2 linked regions of the Mus musculus genome follow. The protein of the gene in region 2 interacts with the protein of the main gene of each other region in a pairwise test. Links are inferred from orthologs where the notes say so. Each region holds a gene or a part of one and is shown on either strand. Other genes may lie near its edges.

Region 1 (3,500 bases), on a different chromosome or scaffold from region 2:
CTCCAGGTAAGACAGTCTCTAAACATCAGAAACGGGGTATGAGGCAATGGCTCAGTCAAGAGCACGTTCCGCTCTTTCAGAGGACAGAGTTTGATTTTTCAGCACCCACACGAAGTAGTGTCAAACTCCCTGTAATTCCAGCTCTGGAAAATCAAACTCCTCTGGCCTTCAAGGGGATCCACACACATGCAATATGCACATGTGGACACACACATACACATAATTAAAAACAAAATTTAAAAAAGAGAAAAAGAAAAAAAGGGGCAGGAAACAGCCTGCGGGCTAAATGTTGTCCACGGACTCACCCTGCACAGCTGAGGCCGAGTACCATTCCCAGGAGGAAGAAGAGGCCCTGAACTCTGTTACAAGACAGTAAAAGTCGCTCACATATCTTCCTAGTCTTCTTTTCTTACTATTCTTTTCTCCCACAACCCTTAACTAGTTCCTGATCTCTTATTTCACCTCCAAGATATATTCTACTCAACAAGTCAAAGCCACAGCAGCTCTCTGAATATTTTCCTTTTCACTTCCCACTTATCAACCCTAACTTGCAGCTGATAAACTGAGCAGCTCATAGCCGTCCCTAGGCTGCTCACAAGCACACAGGTTTTGTCTTTCCAGGCAAAGCCCTCTCCATCCCAACCCCCTCCACTTCCATTTATTTCCCAGGGCACTTAAGAACTGCACCACGGAACATGGCTGACATCCTTTGATGGACTCTATACTTCTCTAGCATGTTCTTGAAATTGAGTTGGTAACAACATAAGAAGATCTCCTGTCTTCATTTGGTCCTTTCTCCACTGGCTTCAAACATCCTACTTCACAAACTGCCCAAAGTGTACTAAATATTATTAACTGACTTTTGAATTCTGATATATATAAAGCATTAAAGAGTTATATTAGAATAAGTAACAACCCAATTCTAATTGAACCCTGAATTCAATGAAAGACAGTGATAAGATATTTTTGAACACCCAAAATCACCTCTAAAATTGGGATGCTAGTGTTTATGTCCTTACAGAATTTATTTGGGGAATTTTTTTCCCTTTGACCCCCTACAGCTCTGAAAGCAAGACTAAATATACAACATATACATCCTGTCTTTTAGAGTAACATTTAGCATCATCAACTACTATAAAATATATGTCAATGGTGTGGCAAAGGAAGCAACTGAACACAGCCATCACACAGCCCAGCTACAGAATCCCATTTCCAGGACTCTGCATGCGTCGGTAACTTACTGTCTCCTGAGTCAGACCTAACACTTCAAAAACAGACACACGGTATTTTGTACCATTTTATCTTCTTGTTCCCTAAAACATGACACAAATTTGGCTTAACTGTGCCTACTGAAGAGCAGCAAGTGAAGAGGAAATGAGAAATACTTACTGCTCTGGCAGATTCCCCAAAATCAATCTTCAACCGTCCCATGGCTCGTATGATTGCAATGATGGACTGAATAGTATTGCTGTAGACAACTACTTTATACTGTTTACATTCGTCCTCTGAATAGCCGTCCTCATGAATGATTCTTCAAAAAGGAGAAAACCGCAAGTCAATACCATGAATGGAAAATGAAAGCATTATAAACTTTTTATGAAGAGAAGGAAATTCAGTCTTAAAAGGCCCTGTGTGAACTTACTTCATCTGTTTCACGATGGTACTTTTACCAGATTCTCCAGCGCCTAAAAAAAAAACAAAACAAAACAAAAAAACAGATTTTGAATTTCTTTGTAATCAAACAGATATGGAGTAAGTAATGCAACTAGGAAGTCTAGCTTAGGGGATATAGATCCAAATGGGAATTTTGGTGAGCTTTCATGTCTATTAGGAAAACTGGTTTTCAATTAGAGCATTTTGCTGTTGTTTAATGTTGATACCATTTGTGCAAAACAGACATTACTCAAGGATAGCAACACAAATATTTTTAGTAACATCATAAAACATGATATACTCAAGGAACACAGGCAACAAATAGGCCTATGGCCTACTCATAGTTAGTAATTCTGTAACCTGCCATGGACCTGAAGAATATTCCATAAGCAACCCTCCTAGTCACAGAGCTAGAGAAGTTCCAAGTATCAGCAGAACTCACGTTGCCTTTACCTTTCATGAGTCAGCTCTTCTAGGGGGAGGGGGGAGGATTTACACAGCCTCCTTTGATGACTGAAATCACTCTTAAACTAAAGATCAAAGGTCAAATAAACTTTCAGATCTTGATAGTCTGCCTGCTAGGTCTTTCCTGATTAGTAATTCTTCCATTTTCCAAAATGCCTCTTGTAACATTACCACTCTCCCCAGCATCAAATGCTACTTCTGACTCATAAATGACAGTCCTGCTCCTCCTTTTTAGAGAAAGTGGAAGGCAATCAGAGAGCACTACTCCACTTCTCATAACCAAATCTACTAGTCTACCTGTATGTATCTCCATTAACATTCTCTATGTCATCAATGTCTCAATGCCCTTATCGCTCTGACTATATACTTAACTTCATTGCAGCTCGACTTGTAGCTGTTGCAATTTCTAGTGTCACCAAAGTATCACTATTTTTTCTTCTTACTGGGATGTCTTAGCACACAGGCTGTTGTTTTACCATCTTTACACAACTCACCAGTACCATTCTTTGACATCCCCTTACACATTCACTTTCTTCTATCTGCTATTCCACCTTCCCTGTGCCTCCCTTTTTAGAAGATCTATTGTGTTTATGGGGTTGGGGGAAGAGTGACAACTCACATGAACAGGTGTGGAGGTCAGAGGGCAACTTACAGGAGTTGGTTTTCTCCTTCCACATGAAGGTCCCAGGGATCAACTGAGGTTTCAGACTAAAAAGCAAGCAACTCTACCTACTGAGCTATCTTTGCTGCCCCTCTCTGTGTTCCTTTATGGCAAAATTTCCCTAGCCTGTCATCCATCCTTACAATCTCTAATTAAGAACCTCCAGCTCATCGCCACCACTCACTGAAACCATTTCTAAACAGCTCAGTGGTTATTTCTAGGCCTTCCCCTGCCTTTCAAGACAGCTTTTTTCAAAGTTGATCTTTGTCTTTTTCTCTACCTATACTTATGTAAGTTTATTTATTTATATATATGAGTGCTCTGTCTCCCTGAATGTATGCATGACAGAAAAGGGCATCAGAATCCATTACAGACGGTTATGAGCCACCAAGTGGTTGCTGGGAATTGAACTCAGGATCTCTGGAAGCACAACTCAGTTAACCACTGAGCCACCTCTCCAGACCCTATGCTTTTTTCTAACTTGCCTAACTTGATGCTTTAAGGCACTATTCATGAGTAAACGTTAAAGAGCAATGAGTAACGAGTAGCAGGGCATTCTAGGTATCTTGGTAATATGAACTCATTCAACCCTCACACCTCTGTAAGGTGGGCCCCATTACCCTCATTTTATAATGAGATAAATCAAGCAAAAAGGTCAAGTAATTTGTCCAGTTATACAGCAGTGGCAAAATTGAAATTTCCACTCTTTCACTTCAAAGCT
Region 2 (3,874 bases):
CCTCCCCACAAGGACACTGGTGCAGGGATGAGGCCATGTTCTCCAGTCACTGCTATCTCCGAGAACCCCAAACTCATGGATAATAAAGCTAATTTGAAGTGCTACTTTATCTTCTGAGGGACTAAAGGGTGAGATGGAAAAAGTGCATAGTGTTTGGGAAATTCAATACTCCAGAATCATTCATATAGTGAGGGGTTAAATATAAATTAAAGGCAAACCGACAATCTGGGAATTCCAGTTCATCTGGGATATCACTGAAAGTGAGAATCTCCAATAGTTTTCAAATATACAAGGTGATAACTGTGTCCCTCATCTAAGACCATTTAGCTATAACAAAGATCCCTAAGGGCTCAAAGACAGGAGGGTCTCGAACTGCTCATACTTCATTAGGCTTTACCCCAATGCTGATAAACCAGGAGGCATTCTGGAAGATTATCCACCATTTGAAGGGCATTCACCATGTGCCAAAGTGCCTCCTTACCAGTAAGCCTTAGTAATGCTGTGAGGTAAATGACACGCAGTTGAGGTGCCTATTTAACGTACCAGAGCTAGCTCACTTGGCCTCCAGGTTCTCCCAGCAACCCCCAGTCCCTACCTGCTACAGGATATGGCTATCATACCCTGCCCCCTACCCCTGCCCTGAACTTTCCAGACAGCCTGAACTGCCCTTCCCCCAGAGGCTCTCTACCCTATATAATCCAGACATCTTGGTTACCTATTCCCTCTCTCTGTGCTCTCTCTCTCTCTCTTTCTACCTCCCTCCCTCCCGCCCCCTCCCTCTCTGCCTCTTACACTTTTATATGCTTGTTTTTTATACTTTTAATTTGGCCTGAATTGGCTCATTATATCAGCAGAGAAACCTATTACAGCCCACCTTACCCTTTCACACTTTGAGGCTCTCTTCATACGATTTCATGCTCCGAGTCACTCGGCTCCAACTTCACAGGGCAGACAGCCTTTTGAAGACCCCAGATGTCTATCCGTTCTGCTCCCTTCCTGGAGCTACTAGAACTGATTGAAGGCTGAGCTAAAGTCAGTATTCCACTCTCAAATCCCTAGGCAAGTTTTCCCCTCAACCTTGTCTATGCTAGCTTGGCCGCCAGTAGACATTCCCTCATACTCTCCACCGTCGGCAATGCTTGGGGCAGTGATAACTCCAGCCCCAGTCTCTGGCTACTTTTACTGTGTTGGGCCAGTGTTAGGGCATAAGATGTATTGCGAGGAATGCATCCGGGGTCAACAAGTCTTCTGCTCCCCCCCCCCCGCCCCCACCAGAACCATGTCTTTCCCTGATCCAGTAAGTCAAGAGAGATGAGAAGGGTCAAATCCTAATCAGGATCAGTCTTAAGGAGAGAATGAACCTGGTTTGGGGGAGGGGGATCCCGAAGAGTGAAACCACTTCCTGTGTTGTAGCTAGTTCCGGTGTTGACAGAGAAGAGCTGGAGGGGAGGTGGGGATGGTGGAGCAGTGTGGCCGGCTAGGGGGTTACTGAGGCTCTGGAGATGAGCCGGCAGGAATCCGCCCTGTCAGGAGCTTGCTCCACTCCTGCAGCTGGAGTCTCTCCCAGTCTCTGTCCTCCCCTGGGGCAAGAGAGGTCAAACAAGCTGTTTGGGTGGGAAAAAGAGGATGGAGGAAGTTGACAGAGTTGGGCGGGGCCCATGGGGGGGCTGACCAGGAACCCGGCTTCCTGCTCAGTACCCTGGCATCCAGCCCCCAGCTCACCCCCACCCCGTCCAGCCCCCATTCCCCTCAGGAACCCAAGGTTCCGGGTCCTCCTCCCAAATTCCAGCTACTCTTCCCCATCAGTGTCTCTCCCCAAGTCCAGGGATGGAGGCTGAAAGACCCCAGGAAGAAGATGGTGAACAGGTGAGCTGCTGGGGTGCCGGGTTGGGGAACCAACCCAGGGAGAAGGGACATGTGGGACCTAGTGACGGGTGGACACAGGAGACTTGGGAAAGCTTGGGCACACCAAGACAGGAACAAAAACACAGGGGAAATGGGTCACTGGCCTAGCCCTCCACCCACACACACCTCTGACTGGAATGAACAACATGTCTTGGTATCAGAGTCTCCCGCAGGATGATCAGGGATGGCCCCCTGTGAATGCCACCGCTCGGCCTTGGAGATCTGCTCCTCCCTCCCCTCCTCCTCCTGGAACCCGACACACAGGTACCCCACCAACCCTGGAAGATCTTGACCCTATCACCCAGGCTACCCCAGTGTAGGTCCACTAACCATCACACCTGTTGGTCCCTAGCTCGTCCACCAGCTCACCTGTCCCCACCGCTTGCTACTCCCATTCTGCCATAGCCTCTGGGTCTGAATCCTCCTCCTTCCTCTCCCATAGCCCTAGGGCCCCGTTCTGGCTCCCTGCTCTCCCTGCAGACTGAGCTCCTTCTGGACCTAGTGGCCGAAGCCCAGTCCCGCCGCCTAGAGGAACAGAGGGCCACCTTCCACACCCCCGAGGCCCCACCAAACCTAGCCCCAGCCCCACCCCGGCTTCTTGAAGACAAAGAACAGCTCTACAGCACCATCCTTAGTCACCAGGTAAGGCACATCCCACCCCACATGCATCCATGGAGACAAGACCCAGGTCTCCTAGCTGGCCTTCTGCCTGAGCCCTAACTTCTTTGTCCCTAAGCATATGTCCTTTGGTAAGCCTCTAGTCTCCCCATCCCCATCACAGATTTCCTATCTGCCCCACACCAACCCTGGCCTCTCTTACCCAAAACCATTATGGGCTACCAATGCCCTTTTCTCCCTCCACGTTTCTAGTGCCAGCGGATTGAAGCCCAACGGTCTGACCCGCCCCTTCCCCCCGGGGGGCAGGAGCTTCTGGAGTTGCTGCTGAGAGTTCAGGGTGGAGGTCGAATGGAGGAGCAGAGATCCCGGCCTCCTACACACACCTGCTGAGACCGGAGCTCCTCACCAGTCCCTTCTCTCTGGGACTCAAAGCTGGGACACTCCCCGAAGGTCTTCAACCCTGTTTGGCAGGGGTAACCAGAGATGGAAGACCCGGCTAAAATTGCTGTATTTACCACCCACTTTCCCTGGGGACTGGACTTGGGACAAGTACTCTAACCATGAAGATAAGCAAGGTAGGGTGGACACAACTCCCGAGGACAGTTAAAGAGTCTCTATCCTGAGCTGTCAAGCTACTAAACAGGGTGTGAGGGCTGCGGCCTGCCCCTGCCTAGTGAGAAAAAAAGGGAAGAGTAAGACAATTGTCCAGCACTAGCAGTCTCAGGCCCCAAGGCAGAGGGGCCCAGAGGCGGTGAAGCGACTCTTACCCCGCCCCCACCCTGCTGCTGAGTCTGTCTGATGTTTTGGTTGTATGAATAAACATAATTCCCCTCTGGACTGAAGACTGGTATCTGGGGGTGTGTGTGGGGGGGTGCAAGGTGGGTAGGTGAGGCCTGGGGCAGCCGCTCTCAGCGATCTGGCCAGAGGCCAGCTCCCCTCCCTGGCTGGTTAATTACTGGCTCATTAAGCAGCGGCTGGAGACCTCCCTAATCATCTCCCCCAGCCCCCAGTCTCCCGGTTTTAATTAAGTCGAACAAGGAGGGGAGTCATTAGAACAAGAAATATGAACCGAGCTGTCGGAGAACATTCCAGAGGCCGGAGTCCGCACCACCCGACCATGGCCTCGGAACCCAGGTGGCCGAGACACCCACCCCAGCGCCCTTTCGGCCAGCGCCGAGGCCAACCCAGTCTCTCCCCGGCCGCCCGGCCGCTCCCCGCCTCCACCCGCCGCCGCCGCCGCCGCCTGGCCTGCGTCTCCCCGCCCCCGGCTCCTCCCCGTTCCTCCTCTCCTCCCCTCCTCTTCCTCCCGCTCCCCTCCCCCAGCCGCCTCCCTCGTTCCCCCTTCTCCCTC

The links. The genes of interacting proteins can lie anywhere in the genome.
Region 1: the proteins of Gpsm3 (region 2) and Gnai3 interact in binary tests that used the Homo sapiens proteins (3 or more experiments, as listed by UniProt). The two-hybrid records come from large-scale screens. The link is inferred for Mus musculus from reciprocal best matches to the Homo sapiens genes GPSM3 and GNAI3.

What each region holds. Positions count from the first base shown.
Region 1 is NC_000069.6:108,122,153-108,125,652, forward strand, and holds part of Gnai3 (guanine nucleotide-binding protein G(i) subunit alpha), read right to left. Parts: intron 1,686-3,500; coding exon 1,643-1,685; intron 1,532-1,642; coding exon 1,390-1,531; intron 1-1,389. UniProt on the Homo sapiens protein: Heterotrimeric guanine nucleotide-binding proteins (G proteins) function as transducers downstream of G protein-coupled receptors (GPCRs) in numerous signaling cascades.
Region 2 is NC_000083.6:34,588,395-34,592,268, forward strand, and holds Gpsm3 (G-protein-signaling modulator 3), read left to right. Parts: upstream 1-1,411; 5' UTR 1,412-1,827; coding exon 1,828-1,866; intron 1,867-2,066; coding exon 2,067-2,169; intron 2,170-2,347; coding exon 2,348-2,547; intron 2,548-2,775; coding exon 2,776-2,913; 3' UTR 2,914-3,360; downstream 3,361-3,874. UniProt on the Homo sapiens protein: Interacts with subunit of G(i) alpha proteins and regulates the activation of G(i) alpha proteins.